Pelodiscus sinensis: one gene and its partner. The protein of the gene in region 2 interacts with the protein of the main gene of each other region in a biochemical or structural test. Links are inferred from orthologs where the notes say so. Each region holds a gene or a part of one and is shown on either strand. Other genes may lie near its edges.

Region 1 (7,077 bases), on a different chromosome or scaffold from region 2:
AGGCAGGACAAAAGAAAACAATGTGCAATGTGACCAGAGTGGCAGAATTTGCACAGAATCAGGCAGTAAGATGCAGTTTAGTATATGAAATATTCAAGACACTAGTAATAGTTAAGAAAATAGTTAACTCTCTTGCAAAAACACTCAGATAATGTGGGATAAAAAGTGGTGGAATAACACTGGTCTGGATGCAACCCAACAAAGATGCTTGTGAGTGCATTTCCTGTCAAATTCTAATATAAATATAATTCTAACATAGATTTTAATATTCACAAATCAAATTAACTCAGTAAACTTGTATCAGTTTATTTGTATATTTACTGTTTATGTATTTCACCACATATTGCAAACTGTCAAAATAAACAATATGCTCATCATGAGAGAAAATCACCATGTTAAATGTGACAAGCTGAATGAATAATGAAAAGTTTACAAATAACCATTAGACTTCAGAGTCAAATTTTGATTTGACTACATTTGTAATGTTGTGGGCTTGCTTTCTGTAGCCATTTGGTCCCTCAAGCTGTAACAGTAATGATCAAGAATATAAGAATGGCCATACTGGGTCAGACCAAAGGTCCATCTAGCCCAGTCTGCCGACAGTGGCCAATACCAGATGCTCCAGAGTGAGGGATCACAACAGGTAATCCTCATGAGATCCCTCCCCTGTCACCCACTTCCAGGGAAATAGAGGCTAGGGATACCATTCCTACCCATCCTGGCTACTAGCCATTGATGGACCTAACATCCATGAATCTATCTAGACTTTTTTTTTAACCCTGTTAAAGTTCTAGCTTTTGCCACATCCTCTAGCAAAGAGTTCCACAGTTTGACTATGCACTGAGTGAAGAAAAACTTTTTTTGTTTGTTTTAAACCTGCTGCCTATTAATTTCATTTGCTGACCCCAAGTTCTTATATTGTGGGAATAAGTAAATAACTTTTCCTTATTCACTCTTTACATACCAGTCATTATTTTATAGACCTCTATCATATCCCCTCTTAGTCTCCTCTTTTCTAAGCTGAAAAGTCCAAGTCTTTTTAATCTCTCTTCATATGGGACATGTTCCAAACTTGTAATCATTTTTGTTGCTCATTTCTGAACCTTTTCCAATGCCAATATATCTCTTTTGAGATGAGGCAACCACATCTGTACACAGTATTCAAGATGTGGGCGTACTATGGTTTTATATAGAGGCAATAAGATATTTTCTGTCCTATTCTCTATCCCTTTTTTAATGACTCCTAACATTCTATTTGCTTTTTTGACTGCCACTGCACAGTGGATGTTTTTAGAGAAGTATCTACAGTGACTCCAAGATCGCTCTCTTGAGTACTTGTAGCCAAATTAGTCCCCATCATGTTGTGAATGCCTGAATATTTGTTAAGGTTTAAAATAGTATAATCAAATGCAACAGCCATGATTTGCATTGTGGTGAATGGACATCTTATGTAACTGAGTGAACAGAAATAATATCAAATGACTTATGAAGCAAACCAACACAATACATGAAATTCAAAGTTCATGAATTTAAAGTATAAAATTAAGTTGGATTCTGAAAGCATGATTGTGCAATGTTGAAATCCATGGTAAAACTATTAACTTTGTTGATGTAGTGTCAGACCCAGTACTATAGCTTTATATAGATAGAATGAATTTAATTCAGTGTGTTGGTTATTGTTAGCAGCTGCTAAATACCACATATAATGGCTGGTCTTCCAGCTGCCTTTTGCACAGTTTTACACAGAGCATCACTCTACTAGTCTATAGGCATAAATGAAGATCCACTGTTCCTCTCTTGCCCTCATGACATGCAGACAGCCCTCCTTTCCTTGCACAGCCCATAAACAGGGCCTTCTAACAGTCCTCAGCATTGGCCCGAAGTGCACATTTAGAATTTGTGCAACCATTTGTGAACCATATGCCAACAGAGAATTTTTCACTGTCTAAATTAGGGAATACTTTAGAACAAAGAGTTCCATAACCTGTTCATGAATAAATTGAGATCTGAAATTTTCTGTACCAACTATTCACTGTTATATTACTCAGTTCTATTGTGACCAACAGGGTTCTTTCCAGTGTGTTCTACTGTTGTTTGTTTTACAGTTGTGCTTTAGGCCTCAGTACAAGAGTAGGGTTCCACTGTGTTAGGCACTTTATAAACAATTCTGAAAAAGACATTATACTAAAATGTCTGTAATCTAGGTTACAGTATTTCACACAAATGAAGTAAATTGGAGAATGGAAAACAGAAAATATATAAATAGTAAATCATGCATAATACTCATTATTCATACTCCCTTAGAATTCAAAAGGTGCTAAAGCTTTAACATAAACATTAGAGTAGGATTATCCAGTGCCACAGTTACAATGCCATGACATTTCAGATGTAAAAGTCTGAAATTGTGAAATTGACCAATTTTAAGACCCTCCCTTCCCCCATGTCCATGAAATTGATCAAAGTGAACCGTGAATTTGGGAGGAACCTACTTTGTTTGTTTTCAACCTGCTGCTTATTATTTTAATTGGGTGACCTTTAGTTCTTGTGTTATGTGAGACGTAAATAACACTTTCCCCATATTATCTGAATTTTATAGCTCTCTATCATATTCTGCTCTTGTTTCTAAAAGGAACAGCCCGTTTTTATAAATCTCTCCTTATTGAAGCTGTTCCATGCCCCTAGATGTTCTCATTGCTCTTTTCTGTACTTTCCCCAATTCTAATATATCCTTTTTGAGAAGGAGTGACCAGAATTGCATGCCATATTCCAGATACTGCCTAGTCAGCCAATTTAGTGGGATCCCTTGGGAAGACCTTGGTCAGCTATGGACTCAATTACCTTGGCTGACCTATTCAGATGGCAACTTCAGTAATAAGACTAGCTCCAATCAGTAAATGGACAAACCTAAACAGCACAGTTGTTTGTTTAAAAAATAAAAGACTTGTTCCATTAAAAGGGAGGGGTGTGCACAAGTACACACAAGATTTTTTTTTTTTTTTAAAAAGCATATAGCTCATAAAATGTCTGGTCATGTGTACTCAAAATCTGTGAATATGTGAATATACATGATGTGCAACACAAAGGACAAGACCACTAGATGATGATGACAGCATTTTTTTCTAGTGTTGCTAAGGGGATGAGATGCCCAGCATCATTCTAGAAACTATCTCAATTATTTGTTTGTGGTAACACAAGCCTCTGGAAATCATGGGATGTCATAGGTGATCTGGCAGATACATTTACACACTCACCCAGACAAATATTAGACCTGATCTGCAACCAACAAGTGTCTACTTCCCCTCTAACCAGGGGATGGTACCACCACCAGCTCAGGCCCTGTTCCCACTCCATCTCTTCCCCAAGCCTGCTCCCCCTCCTCCTCCCAAACACACCCAGTCCCTGCTCCTTTCCTCCCAGAGCCTCCTGCATGCTGAGAAACAGCTGTTTCGTGTATCAGAGGGGTAGCTGTTTCGTGGTATGTCAGATGCACTGAGAGGGGGAGGAGTTAGTTAGTGGGGCTATAGGAGGGTGAGAGATCTTGTCAGCAGATACTGAGCACCTGCTAATTTTTGTCCAGGGCTGAGCACCCCAAAGAGGGGACAGTGCCATAATAACTAGTATCAGACACAGGACTGGTAGCACTTCCTATTATGAAGATTGCCCCACATTTCACCGTGTTTTGAGTTGCATATAACTTCAGCAAAATGTAACTATTTGGGCTGAAGTTATATGCCATTTGCCCTATGTCTGAAGCCGCCTGAAATATTCCAGCTATTTACAAGAACATAAACAAGCCAGACACTGTTTTACCACGTTTAACAAAAATGCAAAGGCTGTTCTTCTCACAAGCTCGAGCACCCTTGCGCTGTGGCTCAGGGGTTTGGGCCGTGGGCGCGGCCTTCCTCTCGGGGCTGCGCTGGACGCTGTCCCCAGTGCAATCCACCCGCCTTTCGCAAACTTACAATTCATGCATTTGACTTATCAACATGTGCACGTGCGCAGTAGAGCCCGTTTCAGCATAATGGACAGTGACACAGTTCTCATGTGACCTCAATGCAGCTTTCCCTGCACGGGGCGGGGGACGGGAGGGGGGCAGGTCGATGCAGGAATCCCACCAGGGTTGCCAGCCCTCCAGGCTGGGCTTGGTGGCTCCGGGGACTAACGATTCCGCTGTAACTGAAGACTGTGCCACAGGAAGAAAGCTGCAGGAATCCGTCCACCCACAACTGGCAACTGCCCATGCTGCCCAGCCCCCGCCTGGAGCCGCTGGGTGCCGAACAGGAGACGGGGGGCAGCCCCGGCTCCCCCGAGGCTCCGCACGCGCAGTGGCCCAGCCGCGCCTGTCGCGCCCCTCCGCCCCTAGCCCCGCCCCGGGCGCGCTCCAGCGGACGGGCCTGCCACGCGCGGCTCCTCCCATCCCGGCCTCGCCGGGCCGGCCTGTGGGCCCCTGCCAGGCGAGGCCGCTACCTAGCGCAGCCGCCACCGCTGATCGCTCGGCGCATGCGCCCTGCCCCTGTTGGTTTGGGGGGCCCACGTGATCTGGCGGGACGCCGCTGCGTCTCTCTCTCTCGCTCTCTCCGGGTCCGGACCGGCGGCGCAGAGGGGAGGGGGGCGGATCCATCATGGCGTCCATGCAGGTGAGGCTCTGGCGGCGGAGTCGGGGCGCCGGGCCGGAGTGGGGAGAGCGGCGCTGCCGGGGTGGCAGGAGGAGCCGCTGGCGGGGTGCGGGACAGCCGGGAGGGCGGCGGTTGGCGCGGAAGCTCTGGCCTCTGGGGTGCCTGTGGGCAGCGCTGGGGAGCCGCCCAGGAAGGGGACTCTGGGACGGGACCTCCCCCCGGAGCGCGAGGGCCCGATAAAGCCCCTGCCTGGCGTGTGAGCGAGCTGTGGCAGACACCCCGCTCCCGGGAAGGGCCGAGTTCGGGTAGGGCCCCCCCCTCCTTGGTGTGTGTGGGAGGAGGCGGGGGCGCTTCACACACTCCCCGGCGGAGCTGGGAAAGGAGAAGAGTCCCCGACCGCCGCCGAGTTCCCTCAAGTGTGAAAGGAATGGCGGGTGTGGTAGAGTCAGCCGGGCTCTTCCTCTTCATTGGGTGCGTGTAAGGATCGTACGGGGTAGGGCACAGAGACTCCCAGAGTGCTCCTAAGGGAGTTTATGAAGATAGGAGGGGGGCATGGCTGCCTGAGGTTGGTGGTGGGTTGCACAAAAAGACAGCCTTGACAGCCGCAGGATTACATTCAACCCTCCCCTATTCGCATCTATAGTAGTAACCTCCCGCCACTTAGTCCACAAGTCCTTTTATCTAAGGACAGGGATAGTGATTCATTTATCCATAAGTATGTTCATTGAAGGATCAGATCACAGCATTCTAGAGGTCTGTAATGCATCCGATTTAGCAGTAAAAGACAGTAGAGGGAAACTGGCTTTTGGGGTTTTTGGGAGAGTGGGGGATAAGGGAGGATCTGTCTCTTGGGACTCTCTTGGTCAGATTATCCTAAATTTGGATCACCAATGCTGCTCTGTACCCCTACAAGGCACACCACGTTTCAAAGCATTATCATTAACCATTTGGAGTATAGTATCAGAGGGGTAGCCGTGTTAGTCTGAATCTGCAAAAGCGACGAGGAGTCCTGTGGCACCTTATAGACTAACTGAAGTGTAGGAGCATTACACTCCTACACATCAGTTAATGCTCCTACACTTCAGTTAGTCTATAAGGTGCCACAGGACTCCTCGTCATTTGGAGTATAGCATACTTAGAACCTTATAGCATATCAAATGGCAGGAGTGGAAATCATGTAGCTGTTTTTTCTGTATTGGCATATGCACAGTGTAAAAATAGACACTTTCTTAACTACTGTTCTCAAATTGGGTTTCTATAGTGAATGCTATGCACTATCTTGGATAAAAATTGAGTTGAGACCATTTTGACCCCTAGCGTAGTACAGCCGCTTCCCAAGTTACAACCATCCGCACTTACGACCAAAGCGGTCGTAAATGCGGATCTGAGTTATGAACAGCGCGGTCACCGTGTAACTATGGGATCTGAGTTACGAACACTTCAAGTTACGGACCAAGTGTTGGTCCGTAACTTGTTCGTAATCCTGGGGAGCAGCTGTAATAGTTTGCTCTCCACGACTGGGCAAAACACCGTCACATAGAAACTTTTTTTAAAATGGCTATTTTTGGAGGGGACTTATATTTCTGGATCTCCTGACTCAGATGACTCCAAATTTGGGTCACTAACTCTTCAACCTCCAGAAAGAAACAGCATTTCAGAGAGATCCTTGTTTTTAGATGATGTAGAAACATTAATGTTTAAACAGGTGTCATGAAGTAACCTTAACTATAGCGCTTCTACACCACTACTCAGACAACAGAGAAGGTGTACAAACTGGAACATTACACGTGGTGTTATACTGATATTTATCTTTAGGGTTTATAACTAGGAATGACATGAATAAATGCAAAAATAATTATAATTAAGCTAGAAAATTTTATGGATGAAATTTTATTAGATTCTGAAATAGTCCCCCCCAAGAAAGTAATGGAAGTCCAGTTTACGTGACGTTTTAAAAAAGGCTGGGTAAAGCACTTAAGGACATACCATATCACATAGTCGTATTCTATAAGACTTGCATGCCACATTGTTTCTGCTGTTTGGTCTTTATTTAATATTTAGAATTCTTTATGCAGCCTGGTTTTGACTACAAAATATTATGTTCCCCAAAGTTTCTGTTAAAAGAAACTCTTGTAGGTGTGTATAAAAACTGTGTGGAAGAGACTGTTGTGACACTTTAAGACAATACTACAGGTAGCTGGGGTTTGAGAGGCCTGTGTTTGTCACTGATCTTTGTTGTGTTCTTGTACAGCTTATTTCACATTTGTTTCTCAGTTTGTCTCTGTAAAGGGAGATGACTGCTGCCTATCTGAAGCACTTCAAGATTCACAGAAAAGTGCTATCTAAGAGCTATCCGGTATTAATAATGTTTTATCTAATGTCTGTTTCTTGGACAAGATAGCAGTGGGAAGTAAGGATGTTAAGAAGAGGGTAATTGAATTATTGTGTAGTCGATACAATT
Region 2 (7,221 bases):
TGGCTTTCCTTCTGTGGGCCAGAGGAAAGATACACCTTTGAGAAGCTCCACAGACTCCTCATTATTCAGCAGACAAGGTGAGATAGGCCCACAAAGGACAGTTTTGCTCAGAAATCCTGCAACGTGTAATTGGGTGCAGGCCCAATCCTTGACCTGAATTATTTTAAACTGCATAACTATTTTGCTCATGAAAATTGGAACAGTGCATACTTCCCCCACACAGCTCTGCCAGTGCTGTAGAACCCTGACCTCTGTCACCTAGACCCTGGGCCTTCAAATACAAAATGCCAATGCACTTCTTGATGTGCTGCACCATGGACAGTTCCAATCCTTCCTCCTTGTTTTGCCAGTTCACCACATTCCTTGCCACATGAGCTCCTCGGTGTTCTAGCCCTGGACTTCCACTTATCCTGATAACGCACCACCGTCCTGACCTGCGGCGCCTGCTATTCTGGTCCTGGGTCTCTGGCTCAGCTCCACTGGCGAGTTGCAATCTTGACCTACCCCCTCCCCCAGTTATTCAAGTTTTGGATTTCTTCACTTCGCAGTGATTTGATGATGTGAACAAACATCCACAGGGGATTCTGAAGAGACCAACGCACATTTTCGCTTCTGACTCAAAACCTGAACCCAAGTTTTCAAGGTTCTAGACTACTTCTCAGACCACAGCTTGTTCAGTAAATGCATACAAGTGATGTTAATCAGCATATCCTTAGAGCTAAGTGATCACTCCTGGATTTCTAGAGCAATGAAGAGTCTTATGATGCATAATCTTGCCCAGTACATTTCCATTAGCTATTTTCTAAAGGTATGTTGTTTAAAAGTTCATCAACTAGGAATATTACATTGTGGTTACCAAGCTAATCAGAATTTGTATAGACTACACAATTAGTCTATAGGACTGCTCAGTCCCGGCTCGTGCTGAGTCCAGCAGCCCCTATTATCAAGATGGACCAGCTAACAAGCGTTAGTAGTTACCATGAACCAGCAGCCAGGTTGAGATACAAATATACACTTAAGAAGCAATACCACAATAGCCAACTACAAAAACCATGAATCCTACATTGAGACAGGCTAGATGGTGAAAGTCACCCAAATGAAGAGTGTATTACAGACAACACAGAGCAGAGATTTGTTTAGGATGTGTAAGTAAACATAGAATAGCCAGACTACACAAACTGGCTTTTGTAATGCTATCTTCCTAACGAAACAGAGGAAATACTTGACTCAGCTAAATACCAGGTGGGGCACAGAGACTATGCCAGACCTAGTAGAAAAGCATCCCAAACAGTAATCACTGAACATTAGCATGCCCTATGTGCAACTCAGTTCTGCAGAGCCAGAGAGAAAACAATCCCCATGGGAGAGCCATGTTAGAAGCAAAGAATTTTATTCCCAAAAGGACATACCCTTAGGAACCCAAATCCCCAAAAGCTATAGTCAGGAAAGTCCTAGATTATGGCTTTGCTGGTAAACCTGTAATCTGGACCACATCCCAAGTTTAAGTGCTGCCCTAGCCAGAGCTCACTAGCAGCGCAGTGCAGTATTATGTAGAATAAGTCCTTTGGATGACATTTTAAACTAAGATCCTCCCTGCCCATACCTAGTGGATATGGGAGTGGAAACCAAGGCTCTATTGACAAGTACTTCAGTTGTAAGGCTAAAGATCCCATATGGTGCTTTGTGGAGAGACTAGGAGATCACCAGTGTCCTGTGCAACCCCATTCAGCATCACATACACCTTCCAACGTCCCCAGCTGTTTGCTTTTGCTGCCAGTTTCGGTAAGAGATTGACAGGGTCTCTCTGACCCTCCCCACACTGAATGGCGAGTGGGCTGCTGACAGCAGTCTGGGCCCCCATCCAGAGGCTGCGTGTGCCGGAGTGGGAAACATTCTCCAGGCCACCTGTTCCCAGGAGACCCTGTCACCAACACAGCAAGGGGGGGGAGGGAGGAGGCCTGCGGGGAAGCAGGGACAGGAGCCTGGATCCTTCCAAAGCCGGGCGGGGGTGAGGAGGAGACAGAAGCGCTAAGGCAGGAACTGAGTCCTGCAGCACGGCCCATGCGGGGCGAACCCGCCCAGCCGCCGCCCCCGGAGGGGAACTGCCCCCCCAGACAGCTCAGCCCCCCCCAGCCCCACAGGCTCTCCCTTGCGGTGGGGGGCAGCCCTCCCCAGCAGCGCCGCCCAGCTCCGAGCTAGGCCTCAGCAGGGTCCTGTAGCCCCGCTCCGCCCGCCGGGCCGCAGACACCCCCCCCCTCCTCCCGACAGCCCCCCCGGCCCGCCCCCTCGCGACACCCCCCACCTCCTCCCGACAGCCCCCCCGGCCCGCCCCCTCGCGACACCCCCCACCTCCTCCCGACAGCCCCCCCGGCCCGCCCCCTCGCGACACCCCCCACCTCCTCCCGACAGCCCCCCCCGGCCCGCCCCCTCGCGACACCCCCCACCTCCTCCCGACAGCCCCCCCGGCCCGCCCCCTCGCGACACCCCCCACCTCCGCCCGACAGCCCCCCCGGCCCGCCCCCTCGCGACACCCCCCACCTCCTCCCGACAGCCCCCCCCGGCCCGCCCCCTCGCGACACCCCCCACCTCCGCCCGACAGCCCCCCCGGCCCGCCCCCTCGCGACACCCCCCACCTCCGCCCGACAGCCCCCCCGGCCCGCCCCCTCGCGACACCCCCCACCTCCGCCCGACAGCCCCCCCGGCCCGCCCCCTCGCGACACCCCCCACCTCCGCCCGACAGCCCCCCCGGCCTGCCCCCTCGCGACACCCCCACCTCCGCCCGACAGCCCCCCCGGCCCGCCCCCTCGCGACACCCCCCACCTCCGCCCGACAGCCCCCCCGGCCCGCCCCCTCCCGACACCCCCCCTCCCCCCGGCGGCCCCCCACTCACGATGGCGCGGCCGTAGCAGGCGGCCGCCTCGGGGTACTTGCGGCTGACGAAGAGCCGGTTGCCCTGCTCCTTGTGCTCCTGGGCGCTGTGGCTCTTCTCGGGGCTGCCCCCGCCCAGCCCGGCCGCCGCGCCCCCCCGGGGCCCCCCGCCCGGCCCCCCGCCGCCGGAGCCGCCGCCCAGCCCCGGGCCGCCGCTCTCCTTCTCCTCCTTCCCCTTCATGCCGCAGCGCTGCCGAGCGGGCCCGGCCGGATCCCAGCGGCCTCGCACTGCGACAGCCCGGCCGGCCCGCCTCCGCCCCGCCCGCAGCCCGCGGGACTTCCGGCGGGGCCGGGCCGGTGAGAGGGGGCGGGCGCTGGGAGGGTGAGAGCGGGGGGGGCTGAACGCGTCTGGGGGGCGAGGGGAGGGGGCGGGGCGAGAGTGGGGGGCTCGGAGGGGGAGGGAATGAGGGGGCAGGATGGAGGGGGAGGGAGCAGGGGGATGTCGTGAGGGCGGGGCTCGGAGGGGCAGGATGGAGGAGGAGGGAGCAGGGGATGTCGTGAGGGGGGGCTCGGAGGGGCAGGATGGAGGGGGAGGGAGCAGGGGGATGTCGTGAGGGCGGGGCTCGGAGGGGCAGGATGGAGGGGGAGGGAGCAGGGGGATGTCGTGAGGGGGGGCTCGGAGGGGCAGGATGGAGGGGGAGGGAGCAGGGGGATGTCGTGAGGGCGGGGCTCGGAGGGGCAGGATGGAGGGGGAGGGAGCAGGGGGATGTCGTGAGGGCGGGGCTCGGGGGGGCTCGGAGGGGCAGGATGGAGGGGGAGGGAGCAGGGGATGTCGTGAGGGCGGGGCTCGGAGGGGCAGGATGGAGGGGGAGGGAGCAGGGGGATGTCGTGAGGGCGGGGCTCGGGGGGGCTCGGAGGGGCAGGATGGAGGGGGAGGGAGCAGGGGGCTGTCGTGAGGGCGGGGCTCGGGGGGGCTCGGAGGGGCAGGATGGAGGGGGAGGGAGCAGGGGGATGTCGTGAGGGCGGGGCTCGGGGGGGCTCGGAGGGGCAGGATGGAGGAGGAGGGAGCAGGGGATGTCGTGAGGGGGGGCTCGGAGGGGCAGGATGGAGGGGGAGGGAGCAGGGGGATGTCGTGAGGGCGGGGCTCGGAGGGGCAGGATGGAGGGGGAGGGAGCAGGGGGATGTCGTGAGGGGGGGCTCGGAGGGGCAGGATGGAGGGGGAGGGAGCAGGGGGATGTCGTGAGGGCGGGGCTCGGAGGGGCAGGATGGAGGGGGAGGGAGCAGGGGGATGTCGTGAGGGGGGGCTCGGAGGGGCAGGATGGAGGGGGAGGGAGCAGGGGGATGTCGTGAGGGCGGGGCTCGGGGGGGCTCGGAGGGGCAGGATGGAGGGGGAGGGAGCAGGGGATGTCGTGAGGGCGGGGCTCGGAGGGGCAGGATGGAGGGGGAGGGAGCAGGGGGATGTCGTGAGGGCGGGGCTCGGGGGGGCTCGGAGGGGCAGGATGGAGGGGGAGGGAGCAGGGGGCTGTCGTGAGGGCGGGGCTCGGGGGGGCTCGGAGGGGCAGGATGGAGGGGGAGGGAGCAGGGGGATGTCGTGAGGGCGGGGCTCGGAGGGGCAGGATGGAGGGGGAGGGAGCAGGGGGATGTCGTGAGGGCGGGGCTCGGGGGGGCTCGGAGGGGCAGGATGGAGGGGGAGGGAGCAGGGGGCTGTCGTGAGGGCGGGGCTCGGGGGGGCTCGGAGGGGCAGGATGGAGGGGGAGGGAGCAGGGGGATGTCGTGAGGGCGGGGCTCGGGGGAGCTCGGAGGGGCAGGATGGAGGGGGAGGGAGCAGGGGATGTCGTGAGGGCGGGGCTCGGAGGGGCAGGATGGAGGGGGAGGGAGCAGGGGGATGTCGTGAGGGCGGGGCTCGAGGGGGCGAGAAAGGGGGACTAGCAGGGGCTGGGGAGATGGAGGGAGCCAGAAAGGGTCAGGGGGCTGGGGGTGAAGTGGAGGCAGGGAGATGAAGTAGGAGGCTGAGATGGGGGATCTGGGGGGGTGAGGGGGCTGGGTTATGGAAGGGTCACGGAGCTGACTGGAGGGAAATGGAGGGCAGGGACATGGAGTGGGGGTCTGGAAGGCAAAGGGAACTAGTGGACAGGAGCAGGCCCAGGGTGTTGCAGGGAAATAGAGACATGTGGGGTGGGGTTGTTTATATGGATCAAGGAAAGTTGCAAATTCCCTGGGTGCAGAGAGCCAGGCTTAGAGGCCATGCCTTAGGACCATAGGTGTGAAGAGGTGTAGAGGCCTGCTGAAGAGCAGGGTGGGTGAAGAGCTAGGAGTAGAGAGAGGAGAGAGAAAGCGGACAGGGCCAATAGAAAGTGAAAGAGGTGAAGAGGAAGGATTTGGGGTTTGCAGACACAAGAATCAGCATTTTCTTCCCGTAAGGTCTCTGCCCTGTATTTCTACAAGCATCAGTTTTGTTTATCTTTCTCTTGTAGATCTTTGTGTCCCAGAGCTCTGAAACATGCCACCAAGAGGAGGGTTGTATGATTGTGAAGACCCCATCTACTGGAGGACAGTATTTGGTGTCTACTGGGATGTACTCAAAGCCAAAGGAGGCAAGCAGAAAAAACTTGCCGAGTTGGATAAGTGGTAAATCTTCCAGCATTTAATATGGCTTCTTTTGTACTCTATGGTATGAGGAGGTGCACGGTTCAGTGTAAAATCCCTGCCAACCCAACTCCATTAGTAACAGCCGGGTCTTCCAGAGCATGAGCTTCCTCACAGCAGTGCTCTGTCAGTACCAGCTGCAACTCCAGCAGCATGAACATCTGGGTTCAAGAAAATATTTTGACTCTGTCTACCAACGGATTTTTGTTTCAGGTATCAGGAGGAGCTGCCAGTTGCTATTGCAGGGAGGAAAGAAAAATATCTGACACGGGCTGAAGTAGTGAAACTCATGGAATGGAAACTAGCAGTAAGTAGCTTTCCCAGGTGAATCATTGTATGTAACATTTCAGCCATACAATCAAAGTGTGTGTAGTGGCAGGGAGGGTCTAAGGCTACATTGCAGCTTAAATTGGCAGAAGTGATGTTGCTTGACTGTGTGAATTAAACATCCCCTTGAAAGACATAACGTATGCCAATTTAAGCACCGGCACGGTGTCAGTGAGAGAATTGCTACCAAGACTTGCAGGGACTGGAAAAATTAAACTCACGAGCCATAGAGCAACTACATTGGAGAGCTTACAGTAGTGCAGCTGCACCAGTGCCACTTTAAGCTCTATAGTGTAGTCATAGCCTCAGAGCCTTGAGGTCTGTAACATTTTCAATTACTGGTGGTTTTGAACTCTGATGATTATATTGATTTTTTTTTTAAACATATGTGGTAAGAGTCTGATGCTGTCAGCCTTAAGGCCTCTGTAGTTGGCATCTATTTAATTCTGCTGTTCCTATTTTAAAGGTGTTGCTGTTAAGGAAAAAAAAAATCCAGTCAAATCCTCTGCTCTTTCTGAACCATGCGTGATGTAAGACAGCGGGAGGGGCAATGGCATCTTTATTCTGCCTTTGTGACTCCTTAATTGAGGGGTTATTGTGGGCCCTGACAACTTATAGGAGCCTCAGGCTTGCTGTAATTGCAGTCAGCTACCCTCAGCCCTAAGGGATTGACCCAGTAGTCTGGGATCACAGAAGCATGTGACTTTTCTGCCACATGCAGTTGCTCAGGCTATGTCTTCTACACAGGATCTTACAGTGGAGAGGGTACAGTGACACTATGCCAGGTAGCAGCCTCCTCACCTTTTGAGTCTGGGGATTTGACCCCCCTTATTTAAAAGTTATACTGTTTGCCTCAGTAATAACATCTTAGAATATCAGAGCAGGAATATTTTTTAATCCGAGGTGTCCTGTTTGTTTAATTTTTACATTTCACACAGCTTGGTAATTTTCCTCTCACTAGCATAATAGAGCTGTGCGTGTGTTTCCACTAAAATAGAGGAACTATTATTTCAGTCAGATATATATGTAACATTAATACTGTACACAACTCTTTACAAACAAGGAGGCGGGCTCCCTGCTGCATAATACATTGCATGGGCTGTTGACTCACAGGAGGAGGGGTGGGGAGAAAAGTCCAAGGAAGGAGAGGAGCAGGAAGAAGGTAGGGGGCAAGGTGGAGGAGATGGTGGAAACTAAAGGAAGAGACTAGTGGTGTTGTAATGGAACAGAGGCTTGAAAGGGTGGTCAGAGGAGCACATGCTTAGGAATAGAAGAGGAAACCCCTGAAGCGATGGAAGGAGCTGGGAGCGATGTGCTCAGACTGTGGGTGAGGAAGTTGTAAATCCCACTCTCCAACAAAACCAAATGTTGCTGGAAATT

The links. The genes of interacting proteins can lie anywhere in the genome.
Region 1: the proteins of STUB1 (region 2) and UBE2W form a complex in vitro, tested with the Homo sapiens proteins (7 studies listed by BioGRID, with this or other methods). The link is inferred for Pelodiscus sinensis from reciprocal best matches to the Homo sapiens genes STUB1 and UBE2W.

Annotation. Positions count from the first base shown.
Region 1 is NC_134712.1:53,656,846-53,663,922, forward strand, and holds the start of UBE2W (ubiquitin-conjugating enzyme E2 W), read left to right. Parts: upstream 1-4,026; 5' UTR 4,027-4,622; coding exon of another isoform or gene 4,623-4,637; intron 4,638-4,704; exon of another isoform or gene 4,705-5,087; intron 5,088-7,077. UniProt on the Homo sapiens protein: Accepts ubiquitin from the E1 complex and catalyzes its covalent attachment to other proteins.
Region 2 is NC_134726.1:5,342,820-5,350,040, forward strand, and holds the start of STUB1 (E3 ubiquitin-protein ligase CHIP), read right to left. Parts: upstream 3,110-7,221; coding exon 2,891-3,109; intron 1-2,890. Other genes in the region: uncharacterized protein LOC102443902, read left to right, coding at 5,369-5,496, 5,728-5,821. UniProt on the Homo sapiens protein: E3 ubiquitin-protein ligase which targets misfolded chaperone substrates towards proteasomal degradation.